Linked DNA regions of Alligator mississippiensis. The protein of the gene in region 3 purifies or fractionates together with the protein of the main gene of each other region. This does not show direct contact. Links are inferred from orthologs where the notes say so. Each region holds a gene or a part of one and is shown on either strand. Other genes may lie near its edges.

The links. The genes of interacting proteins can lie anywhere in the genome.
Region 1: the proteins of RAF1 (region 3) and CDC25A purify together in Homo sapiens (affinity purification with western blotting; 3 studies listed by BioGRID and IntAct, with this or other methods). This does not show direct contact. The link is inferred for Alligator mississippiensis from reciprocal best matches to the Homo sapiens genes RAF1 and CDC25A.
Region 2: the proteins of RAF1 (region 3) and BAG2 purify together in Homo sapiens (co-immunoprecipitation; 3 studies listed by BioGRID and IntAct, with this or other methods). This does not show direct contact. The link is inferred for Alligator mississippiensis from reciprocal best matches to the Homo sapiens genes RAF1 and BAG2.

What each region holds. Positions count from the first base shown.
Region 1 is NC_081828.1:218,038,042-218,045,842, forward strand, and holds the start of CDC25A (M-phase inducer phosphatase 1), read right to left. Parts: upstream 3,083-7,801; coding exon 3,027-3,082; intron 2,814-3,026; coding exon 2,493-2,813; intron 1,510-2,492; coding exon 1,424-1,509; intron 1-1,423. Other genes in the region: E3 ubiquitin-protein ligase TRIM39, read right to left, coding at 7,336-7,801. UniProt on the Homo sapiens protein: Tyrosine protein phosphatase which functions as a dosage-dependent inducer of mitotic progression. Directly dephosphorylates CDK1 and stimulates its kinase activity. Also dephosphorylates CDK2 in complex with cyclin-E, in vitro.
Region 2 is NC_081824.1:51,387,193-51,394,373, reverse strand, and holds the start of BAG2 (BAG family molecular chaperone regulator 2), read right to left. Parts: upstream 3,083-7,181; 5' UTR 2,963-3,082; coding exon 2,844-2,962; intron 1-2,843. UniProt on the Homo sapiens protein: Co-chaperone for HSP70 and HSC70 chaperone proteins. Acts as a nucleotide-exchange factor (NEF) promoting the release of ADP from the HSP70 and HSC70 proteins thereby triggering client/substrate protein release.
Region 3 is NC_081835.1:30,639,709-30,647,643, reverse strand, and holds the start of RAF1 (RAF proto-oncogene serine/threonine-protein kinase), read right to left. Parts: upstream 3,006-7,935; 5' UTR 2,851-3,005; intron 1-2,850. UniProt on the Homo sapiens protein: Serine/threonine-protein kinase that acts as a regulatory link between the membrane-associated Ras GTPases and the MAPK/ERK cascade, and this critical regulatory link functions as a switch determining cell fate decisions including proliferation, differentiation, apoptosis, survival and oncogenic transformation.

The DNA.
Region 1 (7,801 bases), on a different chromosome or scaffold from region 3:
TGTAAAACATCTAGTACATAGCAAAAAGGTTCCCTGCCCCAAACAGCTTCAGATGTCTGTATGGGTGTGATGTGATGTCTACCCATCGTTATGCACAATGGCACTCCACACCCATCCACCTCACCTTGATGAGCAAATACAAAGAAAAATTGGTCAGCAATGTAGGCTTCTGGCATGTTCGGGCCATTGCCTAATCACTGCTCTTTGGAGGCATGATAACGAAAGGAGTCTTAAGGAAGTATTTAAAGGAGAACAATGAAGCAGCTTTGCTGGAGCTTACAGGATATCCTCAAGGGACTCTGGAAGAATTGTTTTAAACAAGTGGACAGAAGCAAGCTGCCTCTTCACGTCTCCATGTTGCACCCTCCTGTTATCTCACTCCGCTTTGCTGTCTTTATGCAAGTTTTATCAGGCTGCACATGAAAGGGGGAACACATCTAAGGAAAAAGGTGGTCTTTAATCCCTGATGCTCAGGTCTTTAGGATTAGGAAAGCATTAAGCAATTGTAAGCAACAAAGGTAGCACCTTTCCCCCACTCAGGACTTTCCAAGGGCTAGACCAGGGGTGGACACTAGTGGCACAGGCAGCCCATGTGCATGGCATATGATAGATCAGGGAGGGAACAGAAAGCAGAGCAGCAGGTCAGGCAGGAGAAGGAGATCAGAACTGCACTTGGGGAGGGAGGGCATGGAGCTTTGTATGTAGCACACCAGCCACATCCCTGCTAGTCTAGACAAAGATGGCATCACTAACACACAACTAACCCCAGAGGGCAAGCTCAGCAGTTAGGGGGACAACCAGCATGTGGCGCCACCAGGAGGTATAGGAGAAGTTGGCTTTGGACACAAATGATCCTCCCTTATTAGCACCTGCACAGACACTGACCACAAAACCGTGATTTAAAGCCTCAGCTGATGCTTAACTAAGTTCTGAAGGCTTGAGGCATCTCTGACAGCAAGCTGTTCAGCTGACAGAAAGAAGAGCTTTTATACAGAAGGGAACAGAGGGAAGAAACAGCTGCCAAGAGACTTAGTAATAAGTGGTTCGATTAGATCAATTTAAGATGAACAAGGCAGTTAACTGCATTTTAATTCACCCAGTCAATCTACTTCTTACCTCTCTTAGCAGCAGCTCCTCTCCTTGCTCCCTTCTATATAAAACCCTTGCTTTCTGGCACTGCATTCATAGCACCTGACACAGTACGTTGGTGCCTATAACGGGTCGTGCCTCTGAATCAGTTGGTTTCGTGCTACTCCGCACCATCTTCTGCCTGACTTCAGACTAACGTGATTAGCTATCCGAGAGCGTGCAGCATTAGCCTGGACTTTTAAAACTTTAAGTTTGCCCATTACAGACATCAAGCAAACAAGAGGATGCCACTTGTTCATTCCCAAGCTTTTATTTGCGATTAAAGCAATCTAACCTGAGTCCGTAGATTCTGACGAGGCCATTCTTTGTAGGTTGTTACCGTTCTTCATTTCCAGCATCTGCTCAGAGTTTTCAAATTGGCTACAAAGATCCCAAAATAAGTGAGTTATTTTATTGAATGGTTTTCATTAAGAAAAAGGAGAGACGACAAATAAACCGCGTGCAATTTACAAGATAAACCCAAGCTTCAAGTAGGGATCAGAAAACATGTCGACCCGTTGCGAGCTTTTCGAGTTCTTTGCAACAGAAAAATTGCTCTGGTATCATTTCACGAGCGACGTGAGGGAGAGCAGGGAGCCGGTGTTTTTTGAGGAGGGCCTCGAGTCTAATGCGGGGACACCCATTAGATTTGGAGGACCTCAAGTCTAAAAAGCATTGAGAACCGCTGGTTTAATGAACGACGTGGTCACGGCTCCAGGACCCAGCAGTCTTGAATAGTCGCTGTAAGGACAGCGTACTTAGTGGCTCCATCACACTCCCCGCCACTGGCCTGGACCCCGTGCCGCTCAGGAAATAAACCCCCGCGTGTTCTCACGTGTATTTCCACAGAGGCACTGCTCGTGCGAAAACCCACCAAGCTCTACAACCACGAACGGGGGCTCACAACCGCCGCGACTGAAAGCGCGCTCTTTGCTTTCCGGCTTTGGAGCGTCTCGGGTCCCCACCTGCGCCTTCCCAAGCGAGAATCAGACACTTTCTAAAGAGAATCTCAGTTTTCCTTCCGCCCGTCTCGGCCCTACCAGAACGGTGCAGATTAAGTCAAAATCGGCACGGTTCGAAATCCTGGAAGACGACGACGCTCCCTGCAACGGGTGCGATCGCTGGAATCGATTTTGGGACGAGACCCGTGAGAAAGTCGGATGGTGGCCGGCGGCCAAACCCAGCCACTCGCCTCGGTTTAGGGGAGACCAGGGGATGTGGGGGTCACCTCAGGGGTGGGGGGGAAGGGCAGGCCTGTGTAAAGGGGGGTTTGAGGGGTGGGGGAAGGGCAGGCCTGTGTAAAGGGGGGTTTGAGGGGTGGGGGAAGGGCAGGCTTGTGTAAGGGGGGTTCTGAGGGGTCTCACCTTCGTCCGAGGCGGCCCAGGGCGAAGCCGAGGCCGGTGACCGGGGAGAGCTCTGCGGGGAACAGGGCCTTGACGGCGGCGGCGGGGGGCTCCATGGCGGCGGGCGCGCTGAGCGCAGCTGTCAGCGCAGGGGAGCTTTGACCCCCCGCGGCCCCCGTCCCTGAGCGCAGCCGGCGCGCGCGCGCTCTCCCGCTCCGCCGCCCCCCCGCTCCGAAGCTGGCGCCAAAGCGCGCCGACCAATCAGCAGCGGCGGCACCCAATTTCAGCCCGCCCACCTGGCGCCAGTCTCGTTTCCCTTTCTCGCCCGGCCCAGCTGTCGCGCTGAGCGACGGAAAGAGTGACCAATAGCACGCGGCGCTTCGCCTTGCCGGCAGCCAATCCCCCCAAGCCTGTCCCTGAGAGGTTAACAGGCCTCCTCAGTGCTGACCAATAGAACAGACAAGGAGGCTCGTGTGCGGCCAATGGAAACGAGCCTAGCCCTGTCTCCTCCCTCGCCCAGGGTTGTTTGACAGCAGACCCGACCACTAAGCTTGCTCGATGGGCTCGTCGGCGGCTTTTCTCGTGAGCAAGCCAACAGCATGCAACCCCATGCTGGCGCAAGCGCCAACAAGACTGGAAGTCCCAGCATGCAATGCTCCTCTTGGCCCAAAGGGGAAGCTGGGCCGCCGGGCGCATTGCATGCTGGGACTTGTAGTCCGCAAGTCCCTTCACCCAGCTTCATTGTGGGGCATGAGGCTGCTCTAGAGACCCAGCTTGGCCCCCAGGTCCTGGTCCAGCCTCACACAGCCATGAGGTGCACACATGGCAGCCATTCCCGCAGTGTCCAGGCCGGCCTCGCTAGCTTAGGACGAGCCTCTCGGTGCTCCGTGCTTTCCTGTCAAGCCCCAGCTCCTGGAGGCATGGGATGAAGACAGCAAACCACCCTAGCTGCCTCGCATCTCTGCTGCCAGGCACCTTGCTGCCCCGCGGGGTGGTGGGGATGAGCGACACCCTACAACGTGTCGTGGGAAACACGGCGCCCTGTCGCTGCAATGCCAGGGAAGGACTGGGCTAGTGTTTGCTCACGATCAGAGAAAAGGCCAGCCAGCCATGCTCCGTGGGAAAGCAAAACCCCCTTGCAGCCTTTGACAGTTTGACTCGAGGAAAACTTATTTCCTGACCCCAGATTTGGAGATTGGCGCGGCCCCCGAGAGGATGAGCATTCAGGACCTTCCATCTAGGAGCATCTGGGCTTCCTATATAGGGGCCAGTCAGCATCGCCAGCCGTAGCTGTGACCCGCACCCAGCGCATCAGAGGAAGACGAAACAAAAGAAAACCAGAATCCTGTAATAGGGAGAAGAATTCCTTCCTGGCCCTATTGGTGCCCAACACAAGCCCCAAACCATTACATTATCACTATACACGACAGAAGAAAAGTTTATACCCCGATTTGGGGATGGAAAAGATGTACTTTATTTCACAAATCACACATACTGATGACAAAGCCAACCACCCCCCAACCCATGATCCCCACCCTTCCCTCCCTTCCACATCCTTCCTGTCATTTCTGATCCAAGTGAGAGCTTTGCAAGATCAACGAGGGTCGTCTGCTTTGGATGCGGCACCGCTTTTGTGTGAAGGCTTTGGTAAAAGGTGGCTGATAGCTCAAAATAAAAAGGCGTTGCACAAAATGTCAGTTCCAGGCGGCCGCGGCGGGGAGCGTCACGGGTTTCATTACCAATGTTGTGTGTGTACGTGTGTGTGCACAGTGTAGAGAAAGACCACTGCACATCCTTGTGTCACTGAGCGGGATGTTTAGGTCAATGCTGCAGATAGGTCTTGAGTGTTAGAAGACAGCAATCACACAACTGACAGCAATTACACAAAGACACCAATCACACCCTCAATGACACGGCCCCTTGTGTATTCCACTGGTTAGGACCGTGGGATTGGGAAATGCTGCTCCGACCCCTCGGCTCCAGTAATGCTGTAGATCAGCGGTACGCGTACCACCACAACCTGTCAGTGTACGCATTCACTGATTTATTACAACTACTTTATATGACAAAACTTTCCTGGCGGTACTTAAGGTTGAACTGAAAAATGTGCTAGTGGCACGTAAGGTTGTATCATTTTAAACTGGTGGTGCGCAACCCGTCAGAGTTTGGGAACCGTTGCTGTAGATGAAAGGATCAGTGCGAACATGAATGGAAAGCAATGGGGCGGCACTCTTGGGACTCTTCCGCACTGGGGTTCAATGGGGCTCCATTCAGCCAAAAAGTCACCTTAGTGTAGGATTAGACCTTAAATTTATCTCTTATTTTGTTTTTCTAGATGTTTTTTTTAACCGAAGAAATGCTGGGGTTAGTTAGCCTTGTATTCCTAGAGAACTAGAATAAGCACCTGGCAGGGGTTTCTTCAGTTTGCATTTGAAAGGTTATGATTGAGGTGGGTGAATCATTCATCCCTAAACCTTTTTCTCCCTATTGTTTTCCAGGTGTTTGACTTAAACAGGCGCTAAGTAACACTTCTTTATCATGCAGAGCTGCGATCCCAATATACAAGGTTGGAGGGTAATGGATAGATGGCCCCTGTGCCAAGGGAGGCTCAGCAATCTTGACCACGCTCCAAATGTCCCTTGGGACACTATCCCAACCCCGGGCAGAAACCTCCTTGGAGAAGTGGTTCCCAAACTGCAGTTTAAAATGATACAGCATTAAGTACCACCAGCAATTTTTTCAGCTTGGCCTGAAGTACAACCATTAATTTTTTGTCATATAATTCTAATAAATCTGCCAACGTGTACCACTGGTGGTACCCGCACCACAGACACTGACTTAGAGTATGATTTGAGGCCGTTCTGGCTGAGCCAGAGAGCAGCTCATGATCCCTAATCCATGCATTGTGTACGCGTGGACAAGGGGAGCCCGGCTATTGCTTTCATGTGACACCACTTATCTATCAGCAATGAACAGCTAAAAGAAAAGCAGCAACATGCAAAAAGCAAAGCTTGGGGCTAACAGAGAAACCCCAAAAGAATCCAAATAGTCTGATTAAGCCTTTCTTCCCCTCTCAGCTGCTCAGTTTTCAGGCTTTTGTCTCATAGTAACCCTACTAGTAATGCAGTCCTCTATTGTGAAAATAATGTTCCATGGCTTTCTTATGCATCCAAAGGGGAAAAAAAGCCAAAAGCTCATTTCCCCCCCTTTGCAGATCATATTTAACTCATTGGCTCTTTAGCATCTTCCAGTTGGCGAGAGTCACCAGGCGCCTGCAGCTCACCGCTCTGGTTTATTTTTTGTAGTTCCCCCCGCACCCCCAGGTCTGGTTTACTTGTTCTCTCTCGTTAGCCATCAGAACGAGCAGTCCACCGAGCATCCTTGCACAGCGGCGTGCTGCGGCACGCTTTCACCTGCCTGCGAGAAGAGCTGCCGAGCGGAAAGGAAGCGCGGTCCCTGGCAGAGGTGCTGTGTGCGGCTCTGTAGCCTCCCTGCTCATGCGAGACATGTGCAGGCCTCCAAGAGAGGAAAATGCATTTGTGCATTTCTCAGCCTCCTCCCTGAACTGTCACAACATCTGGGTTCAATTCCCTCCCTTCTTGATAATTCCTTTCCCCCCCTTCCAGTACCGTTATCACATGAACACGCATGCGTGTCTTTAAAAGGTGAAAAGGAAGGTGCTACACAGGGACAGCATCCCCCAAGCCAAAGCTTTAGGATGGGCCGTTTCCTCCTGCGATGGCAGCTTGCCTGGGACCGGTTTCACATGGCTGCAGGAAGAGGCGTGGAAGTGGTCTGTGAATGCATCTGGAATAAGAGACTTCTCCCAAGTGACCAGGATTTGCCAGAGCTGCTAATGTTGGGTTGGTGGCCGTTCCCTGCAGGTCTGACTCAGTCTCCCAGGGGCATTGATATGCTGCCATCGCTCTGCCAAGGGCTTTCCACCAAAATGCTCCCTGGTGACAGCCCCTAGATCCCAGGAGCAGAGGGATGAGAGGCTAGAGAAACAGGCGTTTGCTTTCCAGCTGAAATTAAAAGCTTGTCTTAGCACCGAAACGGAGGAGGACGGCAGCAGAATTTCCGATGGTAAAATCCAAATTTCTGGAGCAGGAAGCCAGAGCCTGCAAGGTTCCCGGGGACCTTCCCCATACCTGCCGCTAGATGGTACTTTAACATGAAATACCCATACGGAAATCTCGATGCATCACAGCTGCACCGACTGGCGCCCAACCCCTTGGCGGATGTCGCAGACCCATGTCATTGCAAGGACACAGGAACACTTAGCTTGATTTGCTCAAAAGCTTTTGAGGAAGAAACCAGCCTATGAACACCGTTTACTATTGGTTACTGCTTCAAGCCAGTAGGAAAGCACAAACAAGGAAGGAGAGGGCGGTCAAAATTGCTACGAATTTGGGGTCTAGGAAAGATGCCGCATCGGCTGCCCCAGAGATGAACAATCTTAATTCAAGTCACGATTCAAGCCAGCAACCAAACCCCAGGTCTTCGAGCCACCAGGCTCCTCTCAGAATGGCGTTCCTATTCAGTATTTATGCCCCAAACTTCCTCCCATGCTTCTTTTACTGAAGCCACCTGTGTCTCAGGTGGCTTTTCCTCCTTCCTGTGCCCCTGCAGAGTGCTATGATGCCCTCCCCTTACCCATTCAAACGTGGAGTATGGAGCGCTCTCGAGGGGCTTCGCAGCACTGGGTGGGGATGATCCAGGGGTAGGCAGGGAGTTTGTGTGGTTTGTTGTGAAACAGATGCAGAGCATCCCCGAGTGTGCAATCCTATAGACCCCGTCTCTCTGGCTCCGATGAAGCGTCCAGGACTACTTCTGCAAGATGCTCTGAGAACAGTGATACCCTTTAGGGACGCAGCCGGAGCTGGGAGTTGGGCGACCAGAGCCAAAAGTAAGGGAAGATTTTCTCGTGGAAAGTGGCAGTGAATTGGTAGATTTGCACCATGTTCTCTGCGTTGTAGAAGGTCACCTGCCCCTCTTCGTAGTCCAAGTGGACTCTGATCATCCTGGGCTTCTCCTCCAGCAAGACCAAGGTTGGGGGGAAAGTGAGAGCTGTGTACTGATCGTTCCAGCCACGCCGCAGGGCCCAGACCCCTCCTGTTATAAGATCTTGCTGCCCTTTCCTCTTCACGGACTCGGTGGCAACCCCCACAGCCCAGGAGTTCCCGTCGCCTACCTCCACCTCCCAATAGTGCCTCCCTGCTGCGAATCCCTCGGTGCCCAGGACGCTGGGGCTGGAAGTGAACCTCTTGGGGTTGTCAGGGATGTCCGACTGCTTCTGTCCGAGCCTCATGCTTTTCCCATCCTCCGAC
Region 2 (7,181 bases), on a different chromosome or scaffold from region 3:
TCTACATAAATGGCCTCCAGCTACACCTTTCCTGTGGAGCCCCAGAAGCCCTTTGAATCCATATACCATTATCAACTCTTATAGTTTTTAGACACAAATCTTGGGAGAGCTCTTCTTAAACCCACATCTCTTGGAATCATGAGATTAGATGAGGATCTTGGTTTTCAATTTTTAAACAGTTGCAGAGAAAAAGCTTGAAAATGTGACTTGTGTACCCTTAGCAGCTTGAAAACAAGGAGACAAAAAGAAACCCAAATATCCAAATGAAGTACTTAAAGAAAATTTTCTTGATACCACAGTGATATAGCACTCCTTATATATCTAAAAAATAGGGTAACAGGTTGCATTCTATCTTCCAATATATATATCATTTTGAATATCATGAAAACACTGTTCTCTGTATTTCTGATTTTAGTTGGCCTAAGAGTGATTAAAAGCAAATTCAGGATCCTCCTCTAGTGCTACACTCCTTACCAGAACACAGCTTAACCCAGTGCAACAGATGCAGGTTGCACTGTCGTTACCAGATGAGAAACTTGGTATTTGTTTCTTTGTGAGAGCTGTTAAGAACTCTCCCCATGCTACCACATTTAATCATTTAAATTACTTCTATTTAAAGCTTATGCAATATAATTTGAGGTACATTTTTTAATTGGTTAGCGGCTCTTTGTCAGTTCTGTCACTGTGTGCATTTTACTATGTGGTCTTTTTTTGAAACTAGGATAAACACAATGAAGCACTTTTTCAGTTGAATATCATGAACAATTTAGAAGCCATGTTTCTCTGCTCAGGTAATTGATTTACTTAATAAAATTACAGATAAACAAAAAAGCTCCTCTATAGTGTCAAGAAGACAGAAGATGGCATGGGGGGGGGGGGAGGAGGGTGATGGACAGGACAAAAAAAAGTACATCTGATTTTATATATGTAAAATATAATTTAGAACACTGCATTAATTTAAATACAGCCCAGAAATAGACACTTTCAACCTGTTCTCAATTGCAGTTGACATTTCTTGGAGAATACTGAAAGTTATGGTGATACTCAGGCTCAAAGAAACAACTAATATTCCAAGTTAATGGCCACCTGTACTCCTTTTCACCAATTTTCTCTGTGCAGCAATTCCCTAATGGCCAAGCCAGCACATCTAAACAACTGTTGCACTACAGCCCGGTTTCAAAGGGTGATCCTCTCTCTTTCCCTTCTATGTCCGTTTACTAGCTTCCATCTTTGGACCCTTCTACGTTTCCACTCCCAAGCACAATGCAACAAGTATTCAGTCTTAATATGGCACGCATTACTCTCTTTCCATCCTAGCCCCTCATCAAAGAAAAATTATTGGTGTTACTGTCTAAAAGAAGTACTTAATTCTTCAAGGCATTAACTATATAGTTCTATAAATCCACTGGCTGCATGTCTATGCACAGACCCAAGCAAGTCTGACAAGCTTACGAGAGCAAACCCTTGGGACGTAGTAGTCAAAGTTGTATCTGGGGAGCAGCAAAGGAGAAGCTGAGACTATATATACAGCACAGTATTTTTAGGGGTGGTGATAGCCAAGGAATGTAATCAACTGAAAGACCTTATTTATATATGAAAAGTTTTCATTTACTATAGTTACAAACCCACAATTTCAGTTACTGTAACTAAAACAATGTGTGAAAGGTGAGATTTCTCTTCTTTTAAGCTGCTTTACTACAGCTGGGTAATTTTTTTTTAACAGTCTGTGCACCAAAAAGTGCAGCTTTAGCTTAAAGGGGAAAAAAGTAAAAATAAATTAAAATGACATTCTGGTTTGATGGTTTTTTAATGACACATTTTAACTTTTCCTTTTGGAAAAAAAAAATTTTTTTTTTACATTGGAAGACCACCTAAAAGTGACTTCAAAATTTACCATTCGGAGTTTGAAAGAGGTCTAAAAAAACCCCAAATTTAGTGATTGTTAATTGTATTCAACCCAAAATATGGAGGACTTTTTTTTTTTTTTTCCAATCAGGTATCCAGATTGTTGCTGTCTTGACCAAGAAGCAAAAGGAATCAAAACTTGTGGCAAAGGTAATACATTTTATTAGATATTTGCAACAAAACTTCTTTATTTGCAAGCTTCTGGGCACAGGCACCCATCACCAGGCACGGAAGATCGTAAAGACTGTAAACATTCTCCTAGGTAGAAATGAAAATGTGTATGTCATTTTGGGGGGGTTGAGGGTTGTTTTGTTTTTCGGGGGGGGGGGGGGGGTTCTCCACAGACAAAATGGAAATAAGATGTTTTGCAAGTGCAGGTGGAAGACCCCAGGGTGGGTGAAGTTTGGCAGTGACAAGAAGTAATGCCAGACAGGGAAGAGGCAATTTTTTAAACATTTTTCATGTTCCAAGCCAAATAGAGTCCAAATCCAAGAGTCAGTCCAGAACTGTAAACGGCCCTAAACCGGCAAACATCCTCCACCCCCACCAGGGGCTTCAGATACTTCCAAAGTCTTTTGGGGGGCATCCTATGTGCAGGCCCAAGCCTGGAGGCTTGGGGATGGGCGGGGAAGAGGTGCCCACTGCTGCAAAGTAGGAGCGCGAGAAGGGGAGAGTGCCATGATGAGACCTGCTTTCCTTTTACAAAGCTAGTCTGCCCACAATTAAGGGCTGTTAGTAATGTGAATTAAGCTGAAGAGTGAGAATTAGGACCAAAGCGTATATTTACTCTTTAAAATGTACAATAATATCTCATGCATAAAGCCGAGCCCTGAATAAAGAGCTGCGGACTAAGTGCGAGAGCTAGAGCTGGAGCCGAGCCGAGCCGAGCCGAGCCGGGCGGCAGGAGCCCTCCCCGCCCCGCCCCGCCCCGCCCGCACCTGAGCTCCAGCTGGTCGAGGCGCTCGAGCAGGCGGCCGGAGCGATCCGCCATAGATGTGGAGCGGTAGAAGCGGCCGCGGGGCTCGGCCGCCTTGGCGCTAATCTTTGCCTGGGCCATGGCGTTGCCTCACCCGGAGCCGCCACCGCTCGGAGCCCGGCGATGCGCCACCCCCGAGCTCCGCCCGCGGCCAGGGGGGCGGGCATGGGCAGCGCAGCCCAGTCCCAGGGGCCGCTGCTATGTAGCGGCCCGCCACGTGGGCGGTGCCGCCCGGCGGCTGAAGGAGAAGCCGCGCTGGTGCCTGGGGGCGCGGGTGGGTTCCGCCAGGACAGCCCGTCCTGAAGCCACGTCGCCGCAGCCCGGCCCCTGCGCCAGAGCCTGACGGCCCGCAACCCTAGCCTGCCGCACTGCAGCGTCTCCTCCGCTCTCCGCAGACGGAAACCCGGAGAGAAACAAGCACAATCCCGGGTCCGCCGACGTGTGAGCTCTGCCTAGAGCTGCCATAAGCAGACGAGGTTTTTTGGATAGCTCTATTAATACTTCGTATTAGATCAGCTAAATAGTTGCAAAAATAGTTCTTTGCAAGCTTTCGGGCACAAAGATCCTCCCTCCTTCAGGCATACCGAGACCCTGCTCTGCCTGGGGAAGGGTGTTTATCCGGGAAAGCTTGTAAAGAATTTTTCCAATGATTTAGTTGGTCTAATAAAAGAAATCACATCTGCCCCAAAATCCTCCTCCGCTTGTGTCCTTAGGCTACAACCACACTGGTAAGAGCTGCCCTAAGGCCTTCACTCCTATCCCAGTACCTGTGGCTGGCCTTGGACCAGGGCTGCACCAGCCGCCCACTGGTACAGGAAGTCTTCCTTTCCCACCTCCATTTTAAATGATCGTTTTACTGAAGTCCGGCTTGAGTCCTGAAGGCAAGTAAATCCCAGCTAAAAATGTGAGCTACAGCTGCAGTTTCAACCAGCTTAAGGAGATGCAATAAAAGAAAAAAAGATGTAAAAAAAAAAAAAAAAAAGAGCAAAATGTGTGCCAACATGTTTAAAATTAGCATGGAAAGAAGTTCAAACCATGCTACAGGAACAAACAGACTCAGACATTTTATTTACATAAAGCGACTTCCCAATTCTAATCATAAAGGCTGCTTCATGTTGCCAGCTAATAGTAACATTACGAAAGAGGCCTGGTAACACTACCATGCTTAGAGAAGCTGTTGTGTGGTCAGGGGCGATCCAGGAATAGCTGTACCTCCAGCTGGAAATGCTGTCATTTTGCTTGATCTTCTGGGTTCCCCTATGCTATGGTGCAAGTAATTCATACAATTTATCTACTTCACAGAGGATGGATTAACACTTGGTTACTGGGTCCTTCTACACCAGTGGTCATCAACCAGTCATCAATCACGCTGGACTGGTCAATCTGCCAGTTGATCTGAGGTTGGGGGTGCTGAGAGAGTGCATGCACATGCCACCCACCACATCTATGAACAGGGTGGAGGTGGCTGCCGCTGCACACTGGGCTTTGCTCCCTGCTGCAGCTGCGCTGTGCTCCCTGCCAGCCCAGTGGCAGGACACACATGGTGTTGTGTGGTGCTTGGGGCAGGGCTCAAAGCACAGCATACAGCGGCTGTCGCTTCCACCCTCACTGCACACAGATGTCCCACCACCCAGCCTGACTGGGGCCCCACTCACTCCACCCCTGCTCCTACCTGTGCCCTGCTCTCTCCTTCACTGCTGGAGCCTTGATTTGCCCCCCTCCCCCCATAGCCCTTTCTACTCCCCCTGTCCCTTCTCCCACAGACTTACCTGCTCAGGGGGGCACCCTGAGAACCCAAATAATTTTTTCTCCCTCCGCCTTGATTTACCCTTTCCCTTCCCCTTCACCACACAGACTGACCTGCAACAGGGGGGGAGGGGGGGGGAGGAGGCACAGTAGATCTTGGATTGTTTTTTAATTCAAGTGATCTTTTACTTAAAGAGGGTGGAGATCAGTGTTCAACGCATTCATTAATGCACTGTTGGTTCAGTGGTTCTAAACCTTTTTGTACTGGGACTCATTTGTAAGCATCAGTGGCCAGTCCTGACCTGGTGCCTCCAGGCCCCAGCCCCCCAGTGTCAGGGGGTGTTTGGCCTTGGGAGCTCTAGGTAGCCCCTTGCAGGCAGGAGATCCACCAGCCTGCAAGGGAAAAGCACCGTTTCCCACATTTTTCTCCTTTAAAGGAGAATCAATTTTTAAAGTTTGTTTGTGCCCTTTTCATATATTCTTGCAACCCACTTTTGGGTCATGACCCACAGGTTGAGAAACACTGCTTTAGGTAATACACATTAAGTCTATTTTGATGTGCATTAGCTAAAGAGCACTTTTTGTGAGATTTAATGTGCATTAGGAGAGGCTAATTTGCATTAAAGCCCACATGTAGACACACCCACTGGTGTAAAACACCACACAGCCCTACCTTGCCTCCACTTATAGGATAATTATAACAGAAATAAGGAGGAGTCAGGGAGCGCCTACTAGTATCTAAGAAGAGTGTGCTATTTGTAAGACACAATAATTGACTTAAGAAGCAACCATACACAGGTAAGTCTCCTCTGACCTCACTATTACACATGGTTCTAATAAGTCACATACAGGGCCCAGTTGCCATTCCTTTGTATCCATTTTAGATCAGAGACGACAGGAGTTTGAAAACCCCAATTTCTTTGGAAGGATACTACTTTGTCCACCCCACTGGTGGCCAACCTATGGCATTAGCAGTCATTATGTTTGGCGCACATGCCCTGGGCACTGAGTTGGAGCGGTACTCTGGAAAGGGAAAGGGATTGGAGTGGCAATCTGGGACCAATGCTGGCTCAAGGGTTTGGGCTCACCTGATTCAGTGTTGCCACATCCTGGTGACAAATGATGGCACTGGATGACAGCAGTGGCTGATAATCACAGTAGCACTACTTTGGACCTAACTTCCAGCACACTTCCCAAGAAGGCTGGACACACTTTACCAATCAACTTTTGCCTTTCAGTCAGGGAAACTGATGTTGCCCATGCTTAATGCATGCTCACAGTAGTATGAATCAAAGTGTTCTCTCAGGCTTGTCCATTAAAAATGACATCATTTCCCAAATGCTTTTGATTTAAAACCAAACCACTCAGCCAGCCTTGGCCTAGTTTACTATAATGCCCTTCTTCTCTGAGTGGCTGCCCTGTTAGATTGTGCAACAAATTTCCTTGTAGCACTTGCTCTATTTTGTTTAGTCATGAAGAACAGGTACCTTGTATCCCCAGAAATGGGATAGCAGACACATTCAGTCTGGATCTGCCACTGTGTATTCTTTTTGAGATGCATTTATTCCATCCAGGCTATAATTTATTCTAAATGGATAGTGTATAAAGAGTAAAGAATTAAACAATGTAAAAAATGTATCCTGTAAAATGCTTTATTACCATATTTACCTGAACACAAGACAACCCTTGATATAAAATGGGGTTGTCCCCCCCAATAATTAGATTCTACACACAGAAAATGTATACATTTATTATAATTATCCAGGTGTGGAATTGAATTATTGGAGGACCATCTTAAATTCATCTCCCCCCACTACTGCAGGTGGTGTGGGGAAAGGTGGTAAAGGGGTAGTAATGGGGCAGGCAGTGGAAGAGGAAGGCAGCTTGCTCCCTGCCACCTCTCTCCCCACCTATGCTTACCTCCTATTATGCTTTCCCCCACCCACCCCAGCCTCAGGCTGCCCCCAATCCCTCCTTCTCCCTCCATGTCACTTCTGGCTGCTGGTTGAGCTGGGGGCACAGCAGCAGTGCCTGCTAGGTAGGCTGAGCTCCTGATCCTAGCTGGCAGCACCTGCTGTGCAGCCTTACTTTCCTTTTTCCTACAGCAGAGGCTTATGCAGCAGAAGCTGCTATTACTATTTTTCCTCACTTAAAACATGCACCTCAAGTTCCAGCAGCTGTATATAAGAAAAATGTGGTAATTTATTCTGTAATAATTCTATTTCTTTGTCCAGTTCAGTGGTTCTTAAGCTTTATCAACTAAAGACTCTGCTCCATAACTTTTGTGAGTTGAGTGGTATCCCATTTAAAAAAAACAAACACATTTATTACTGTGTTTACCTCCTTGCACAAAGGTCAGATAGTGTCAGGAGAAAAGGGGGGGGGGGGGGGGGGGGGGGGAAGAAGAGCAGCCATGCAGGGACCAGCATGTAGTTCTCTCCTTGCAGAGGGCCCAAATAGTTAAGATATTGCGCTTTTCCATCCAAAGAGTTATTGTAGAAAAACAGTGTTACAACTCTCTGTCCCCACACCTGAAATTATTATTGTTGCTATT
Region 3 (7,935 bases):
GGGGCCAGCATCAGACTCTTCCTGGGGATGGGTTGCCCCCCCCCCCCAACTTTTCCCTCCCCAACAGACTTATCAGCAAGATGCTACTCTGCACGCTTCCTGTGGCAAGGCACTGTTGGTGCCTGCCACTTTAAAGGCTAAGCCAAACAGCCAGCAGGTGCTTGATTTCAGCAGCCATTTTGAGACACTGGCTGCTTATATAAACTGAGCAGATTGCTGCTGGCAGCCCAGGCAGAAATGTTGCTTGGCTGAGCTGCTGTATGAGAATATCTGCAGAAGGCTCTTGGTCCTGGCCATGACCTAAAACTGCACCCTGCTGAGAATGAGTGGCCTGGTGGGGCTCCCAGCAGTGTGGGAGCCTCCACAAAAATACCAGACCAGATACCACCCCAGTAGAAAGTAGGCTGGGGTGCCTCAATAACTCTAGCCCCCACATCACTGTGGGTAGCAGCTGGGGCCATGCATGGCTATAGCCACCTGAGCTCCCACCAAGGAGGGAAGCCCCAGTGAGGGGGTAGAAGATGTGGAGCCCGGTGTGTGTGATGTCTGCCACCCAAGGTGTGTGCTAGATAAAACCTATGGCCAAATGCACCCGCTCTAAAAGGGAGCAAGGCAGTATAAGTTCTTGATGCGTGAAAGAGACCCTGACAGGGGGTGGAGCATGAAAGGCCCTAAGTGAGATGAGGTATGGGCGCATGTATGAGGCCTGACAATGAGGGCTAAGCTTGGTCTGGCTGTAGACTGGGAGTATGTCACCTGGATGCCATCTGCAAGGTTTGGGCTGCAGTGTAGGGAAGGATCAGAGCTGCAGAGAGCACTCCCTGGCATCAGGGCAAGAATGGGCAGCTTTCCACCTGATAAGAACCAATTATAAAACAACAAGGCATGGCAGGAAAGTGTGGCAGGTGGTTAGCCCCAAACAGGTGGGCAGACTGATGGGGGACCGGGCCAGAGAGAGCCCTTTGTTACACTGCCGAGCTGGCTGAGCGCGTGCTGCAGCTGCGCATATGCACATGGCATTTATCAGTGACATTATCTGCCATATCAGCCCCCCCAAAAAATTGGCAATAATGTCAATTTTACCTCTTATTGGTGCCAATACAATATGGATTGATGCATCAGCGCACCACTATTTTTAAGCACCAGGACATTAATGCATGTGATGCTGGAACATGCCAAAAAAAATTGTGTCAGTACGTCAAAATGTGTTGCATCTTAAAGTGAATCAGTTATCGGAGCGGCCGACACAGTTGGTTAATAATAGACTACCAGTATCAGCCAAGAAAACCTTTATCAGTGCGCCACTACGGCATATGTAGACTTTAAGATAGAATGCCATAGTTTCTAAATTTAAACTCAACAGGCTCATTTTTCAAAAGAGAAAAAAAAAGCATATAATAAATAGATAAATAAAAGGTGGATAAAAAGGAATGCGTTTTTAGGTGGAAAAAAACAGTGCACATTTTCTTCCCAGTACTTTCAGCATTTCCTCTTTCAGTTGGGTCAATTACTTCTCCTGCACAATAAAGTGTCTAGTGCTGAAGACATCAACTGCATGAATTGTGTACTTCAGATGTAGCCAGCATCACTGTCCCAATTTGAGCAAGACATGACAACAGTCTTAGCTATTCCATGTAACCACCACAAACTGTACAACAGTTCAGGTTTGTTCATGAAACAGTTGAAGAATTTACAAATGTGTCAGTTTAAGGACAAACAGTATCTTCTATGGCCTGCTTACACAAAGACACTGAATTTGTTAAGATAAACTACATTCACTTCAGTTCTGAAGGAGAGGTAGAGACTTAACCAACATAACCAAGCAACTTGAAAAGTCATACCAATAATTAATTCGTATATACTTTTTTCTGCCATCAAGCCCTAAGTGAGCATATTTATCTCTCTAGCAATTATTCAACTGGTATCTGTTCAGTTCTATGAATCCATTAGACATTTGCAGGCTTTCCAAAATAAAGGAATTAAAATAGCCTTTTACAAAGGTTCTCTCAAGACATTTTTTAGCCATCAGACCATGCAAGGAGGAGAGCAAAGTACATTCTTCTTCTCTGCACGCTTCTGAGTGCCTCCAAGACACACGCTCGGGCAACTTGAACTGGGGGACCCTTACACTGTTTGGGTACTGCTCAAAAGCTACTGAGGAAGAAGGTGGGACCAGGCAGGAGTCCCTGAGAACTTGATGGGCGACAGACGTTAGGCAAGAGAATGCTTTAACTCAGTGGTTCTCAACCTTGTTTGTATGAGGACTCATTTGTAAACATCATGGCCAGTCACCACCCAGTAAATGGTTCAAGTAGCGAGCCCCCTGCCAGCCTGCAAGGAGATAGCTGCGGTTTCCCACATTTTTCTCCTTTAAACGAAGAAGATCTGTGATTTTCTATGTTCTTCCATGATTATTTGCGACCCTTTCATGTATTCCTGCGACCCACTTTTGGGTTGCAACCCTTGCGAAACGCTGCTTTAACTAGAGGCATATCAAACTTGTGGACAGCGGGCCCTTGAGTCGGCAGGGCTCTGCGCAACGGCACGACCCACGGTCCTGCTCCACAGACAGCCTCGCTCCGTGGCGCAGAGCTAAGCTGACGGCAAGAGCCCGGCCAAGGACAACGGGCCGGCCAAGCCGAGGCGAGCCGAGCCGAGCCGCCGGCTTCAGCGAGAGGCAACCACGCTAGCGAGACGCTCCAGACAGAGGCGCCCGGCCCCGCGGCTAGGCGAGGTCCGGCCCGCTGCCGTCCCCACCCGAGCCGGGCCCCCTCCCGCCCCGCGGCCGTGCCCGGCAGGGACCCGCCGCCAGGGGCTCCGGCCGCGCCCCGCGCGCATACGCACACGCACCTCCGGGGGCTCCGGCCAGCGGGGGCTGGGGGATCCCGCCAGCCGGGGGCAGGGAGCTCCCCACCCCCGGCCGCGCTCACTGCCCCCGGCCGCAGCCGCCGCCGCCGCCGCTCCTCCGCCCGCTCCTCACTCGGCGCCCGCCCCGGTCTCCATCTAAAATGGCGACCTCAATCCGAGCCAGACATTTATCGGGGCCCATCGATGCGCTCCGCGCTCCGCAGGGCTCCTCTCCCCCTCCCCCCGCGGAACGCCGAGCCATCGATGGCGCGCACCCGCCAGCCCTGCCCAGTTGCGCGGCCGCCTTTCGGGAGCTGGGCAGGCGCGGGACTGGAGCCGGCGGGGGTTTGGGCACCTCCGCCCCGGGGACCTCCCCACTTCCCTTCCAGTCATCCTTCACCCCCAGGCTAGAGGAGGGAGGAGTGAAGGCAGCGCCGAGCTCAGGGCGCCCCGCAGGGTCCCGTGCTACCCGGCAGGGGCGCCCGTCCGTGGCCGCACCCCCTCGCGTCTCTCCTGGATCCACCCTGGGGAAGGAGCAGTGGGTTGTATCCACCTCTGCAGCATCTGCCACCCCACTTCTCAAAATCCTAGCTGTGCCTATGGGTGGGGCAACCTCTACTAAGTTAATTGGTAGCTGGTTGACGCTAGGGTATCTGGGAGATTTTTTTCCCCGGACTCATTTTGGGCACATCTACGCCTGAAGCTTACAGCAATACAAGCTAAAGCGTGTTTAAATTCTGCTTGCACGTCTGTGTGTGAACTCGTTTCTGTCAGCATAAGGCCTTTTCTTAGTTTAGCTCACATCGGTTTGGAAAAGGTTTAAATCAGACCAAAAAAGGATCTCTTGCTGGAACAAAATTGTCCATCCAGTGTTATAGTGTACCTGAATAACTGGCAAAGCTTTCACATTTAGACAAGTACAATTCTCCCTTTACAATTGCCACAGTCCTAGTTCTATAAAAGAAAAGACAAACTACAAATTAAACCAATGTGGTGTCACCAGCTGCAAGATGCTGACAAACACACGGAAAATTTGGCAGTCAGATATGCACAGTCAGCTTCCCTAAGCCCTTGTGACTTGTAGATGTGCATTTGAAGCCAAAACTGAGGCCATTAGGTGTAAACACACAATTTTACCAAAAGTTACATTTAATAGACCTGAAGAACAGTTCACATTTATAAACAACATCATTATAAACAACAACAAAAACTGATATTTATAAATGTGAGTTGTACTCCAAAGTTTTTAATCAGTATTTTTTGTTAAAATGCTGTTTTTAAACCAAATGGGTCCAGTTCTGGATTCAGATCCATGTATACAAGCCATATGGCCTTAAGAGGAGCTATACGCACATATCTGACTGTAAAATGCGGCCCAGAGAAACAAACATTATATAATGAATGCTTAAACAACTTAAAACTAGGTATGTCTGTATAACACTAGCTGCAATTCTGTCTGTGAGGAAGGTTTTGCCAGAGTATATACAGTTCACTTTAAATAAGGAAATGTAAAATGCAAGTAAAATTATGACAACATGGAAAAAAAAAAAAGAAGAAAGGGTAAGTGATTTCAGGGAAGGAGAATACTATTGGTGTCAGACTGCTAATTCATTTTTAAATTTCCAACAAAGAGAAGATTAAAGCTATGAAAGTGAGATGAAACCATAGTGATTGAACAAATTAATAGAGTTAGGGAAGAAAGTAAATCAAATTTTAGGCTGCTAAACAGTGAAATAATACTGTAAAGAAATAGAGCCTTTTCAAGACATAAGAAACAAGGAACAAGGAAATAGAACAAAGTAACTTTCTGAGATAAATCAATCCAGAATGAATGCTAGTAACTTCTAGTTTATTTCATGTTCGTGTTTGCTTGGGTTTACAGTACAATACAGAATTTCTCATCTGATACGTGCATAACTCATACTGTTATTAGTTCAGATATATGTCAAGATTGTGTGATGTCTGTCTGAAACATTCTGTGCTGCTATGAGAAACAGTGTGGTCAGTAATTAGAATGAAACTAAGGGTAGCTGGGTTATTCCTGTCTCTGCCACTGATCTGTTAAGTAATCCTGGGCAAGTCACTTCATCTTTTGGTATGTCAGCTTCCCCATCTGTTAAAAGGGAATAAGATATACTGACCACTTTCATAAAATGCTTTGAGATCTATTGTCTATAAGAGCTTGGTATTATACTTCTCCATGCCTCAGTTCATTTGATTAGCATTGCAAGACTTAGTTTGTAAATTGCTTTGAGCTCCCCACATGGAAAGTATTACTTGCAAAACATTGTTCTTAACAAATTATGTAACTTTTATTTATAATTTTTCTACATAAAATCAATTAACAGGCCTAAGAATGAACAAGGAATACATAAGGCAAAAACAAAAGGTACCACTAGTAACAAATATTAAACATGCATTATCTGCTATTTAGCTGTGCTGTCTGCTTTTTTCTTAGAGACCTGAGGAATGGTACATAGTACCCAAAAGCTTGTCTGTGTCCCTCCTGACTACATAGTTAGTCCAATGAAAGATACTACCCACAAAGACCTTTGCCTCTCACAAAGCTTCCATGAAACTTAGTACTTAAGTCAAAATTATCTTACTACTTAGTTTAAAAATAGATTACCTTTACAGAGGTGTGCCTCACCTCTGCCATGTTTAATATACAGTATCTGTGAAACTAGGTACAAAAAACTCCAAGGTAAAGAGGGTTGCAAGGACAACTTGAACAAATCAAAATATTAAAACCAAGCAGCTATTCAAGAGAACTATTACTGAATAAGAAAAATTGCACTAGCATGGCTATTTGTACCCTTTTTATATTCTTTTTGTATTAACAAATCCAAAGGGGGGCATCTAAAAGGTGGAAATGGGGAGAGATTACTAAACAGGAGCATACCTCCTCTGCTCGCGCTTGTAGGGAGGCAGTTAGACAGGCCAAAGCTACCATGGAGCTGAGGATGGCATCCCAAGTTAAGGATAACAAAAAATTGTTCTTTAGATATATAGGGAGTAAAAGGAAGGCCCAGGGTGGAATAGGACCTCTACTAAATGGGCATAAGCAATTAATGATGGACAGGGGGGACAAGGCTGAACTCCTCAATGAGTTCTTTGCCTCAGTGTTCCTAAGCGAGGGGCAAGACAAGGCTCTCACTGGGATTGTAGAGAGGCAGCAGCAGGATGCCAGACTACCAAGCATAGACCCTGAGATGGTGCAGAGGCACTTGGAGGAACTGGATGCGTTCAAGTCGTCAGGGCCCGATAAGCTCCATCCGAGGGTACTGAAGGCAGTGGCTGACATCATTGCGCAGCCACTGGCGGGAATATTTGAACACTCGTGGCGCACGGGCCAGGTTCCAGAGGACTGGAAAAGGGCCAATGTGGTCCCCATTTTCAAGAAGGGGAGGAATGAGGACCCAGGCAACTATAGGCCAGTCAATCTCACCTCCATCCTAGGCAAAGTCTTTGAAAAAATTATCAAGGCTCACATTTGCAAGAGCCCGGCAGGAAAAATTATGCTGAGGGGAAACCAGCATGGGTTCGTAGCAGGTAGATCATGCCTGACTAATCTAGTCTCGTTTTATGACCAGGTTACAAAACACCTGGATGCAGGAGTAGGGGTTGACATCGTTTACTTAGACTTCAGGAAGGCCTTCGATACGGTATCCCACCCCATACTGGTGAACAAGTTAAGAGGCTGTGACTTGGATGACTACACAGTCCGGTGGGTGGCGAATTGGCTAGAGGGTCATACCCAGAGAGTCATAGTGGATGGGTTGGTATCGACCTGGAAGGGTGTGGGCAGTGGGGTCCCGCAGGGCTCGGTTCTTGGACCGATACTCTTCAACGTCTTCATCAGCGACTTGGACGAGGGAGTGAAATGTACTCTGTCCAAGTTTGCAGATGACACAAAACTGTGGGGGGAAGTGGACACGCTGGAGGGCAGGGAATAGCTACAAGCAGACCTGGACAGGTTGGACATATGGGCGGAAAACAACAGAATGCAATTCAACAAGGAGAAATGCAAAGTGCTGCACCTAGGGAGGAGAAATGTCCAGCATACCTACTGCCTAGGAAATGACCTGCTTGGAGGCACGGAAGCGGAAAGGGATCTTGGGGTCCTAGTGGATTCCAAGATGAACATGAGTCGTCAGTGTGACGAAGTCATCAGGAAAGCTAATGGCACTTTATCGTGTATCAGCAGATGCATGACGAACAGAACCAAGGAAGTGATACTTCCCCTCTATCGGGCTCTGGTCAGACCGCAGTTGGAATACTGCGTGCAGTTTTGGGCGCCGCGCTTCAGGAGGGATGTGGATAACCTGGAGAGGGTCCAGAGAAGGGCCACTCGTATGGTTAAGGGCTTGCAGGCCAAGCCCTATGAGGAGAGACGAGGGCACCTGGGCTCCTTCAGCCTCCGCAAGAGAAGGTTGAGAGGCGACCTTGTGGCTGCCTATAAGTTCATCATGGGGGCACAGAAGGGAATTGGTGAGGCTTTATCTTTTATTATTCCCAGTTATGTGCAACATCTTTACAATCAAATACTGTAGATAGATCTTAGGCTTTCACTATTTTATTAAATAGAGTGTAACTGTTTAGATACAACATAGAGGAGGGCAGTTTATTTTCCTAAGGATCCTACAATCTAAAAATCAGCCATTGAAATGCATGGGTTGTTCTAACATGCCAGAGGCTGTTCACCTTGGAGACCTGCTGTGGATATGGGTACGGCTCAGTGCGAGATTTACACCTTCTCCCCCCGATTTTCAAGGACCAGCGAGGGCTCATTGGACACTGCCAGAACCACGACACTTTCCAAGGCTTGGGCCCCTCTCTCGGGGCGAACCCATTCCAGGGTGCCCTGCCTTTCACAAAGAAATGGGAACTCTCCCTGGGGCTCCTGACAGCTTCTCCATGATCAGTTGCATTACTGCACTGAAAAATCAGCCCAGCCCTGCTCCAGGTGTGCACTAACAGAAGTTAATGAAGGCACTCTATGTCACATGATCAGGCACTTTTAAAGTGCTTTGCAGCCATGCAGTTCTGTCAGGGCATGGCTGTAGAGCACTTTCAGGCAGCCAATCA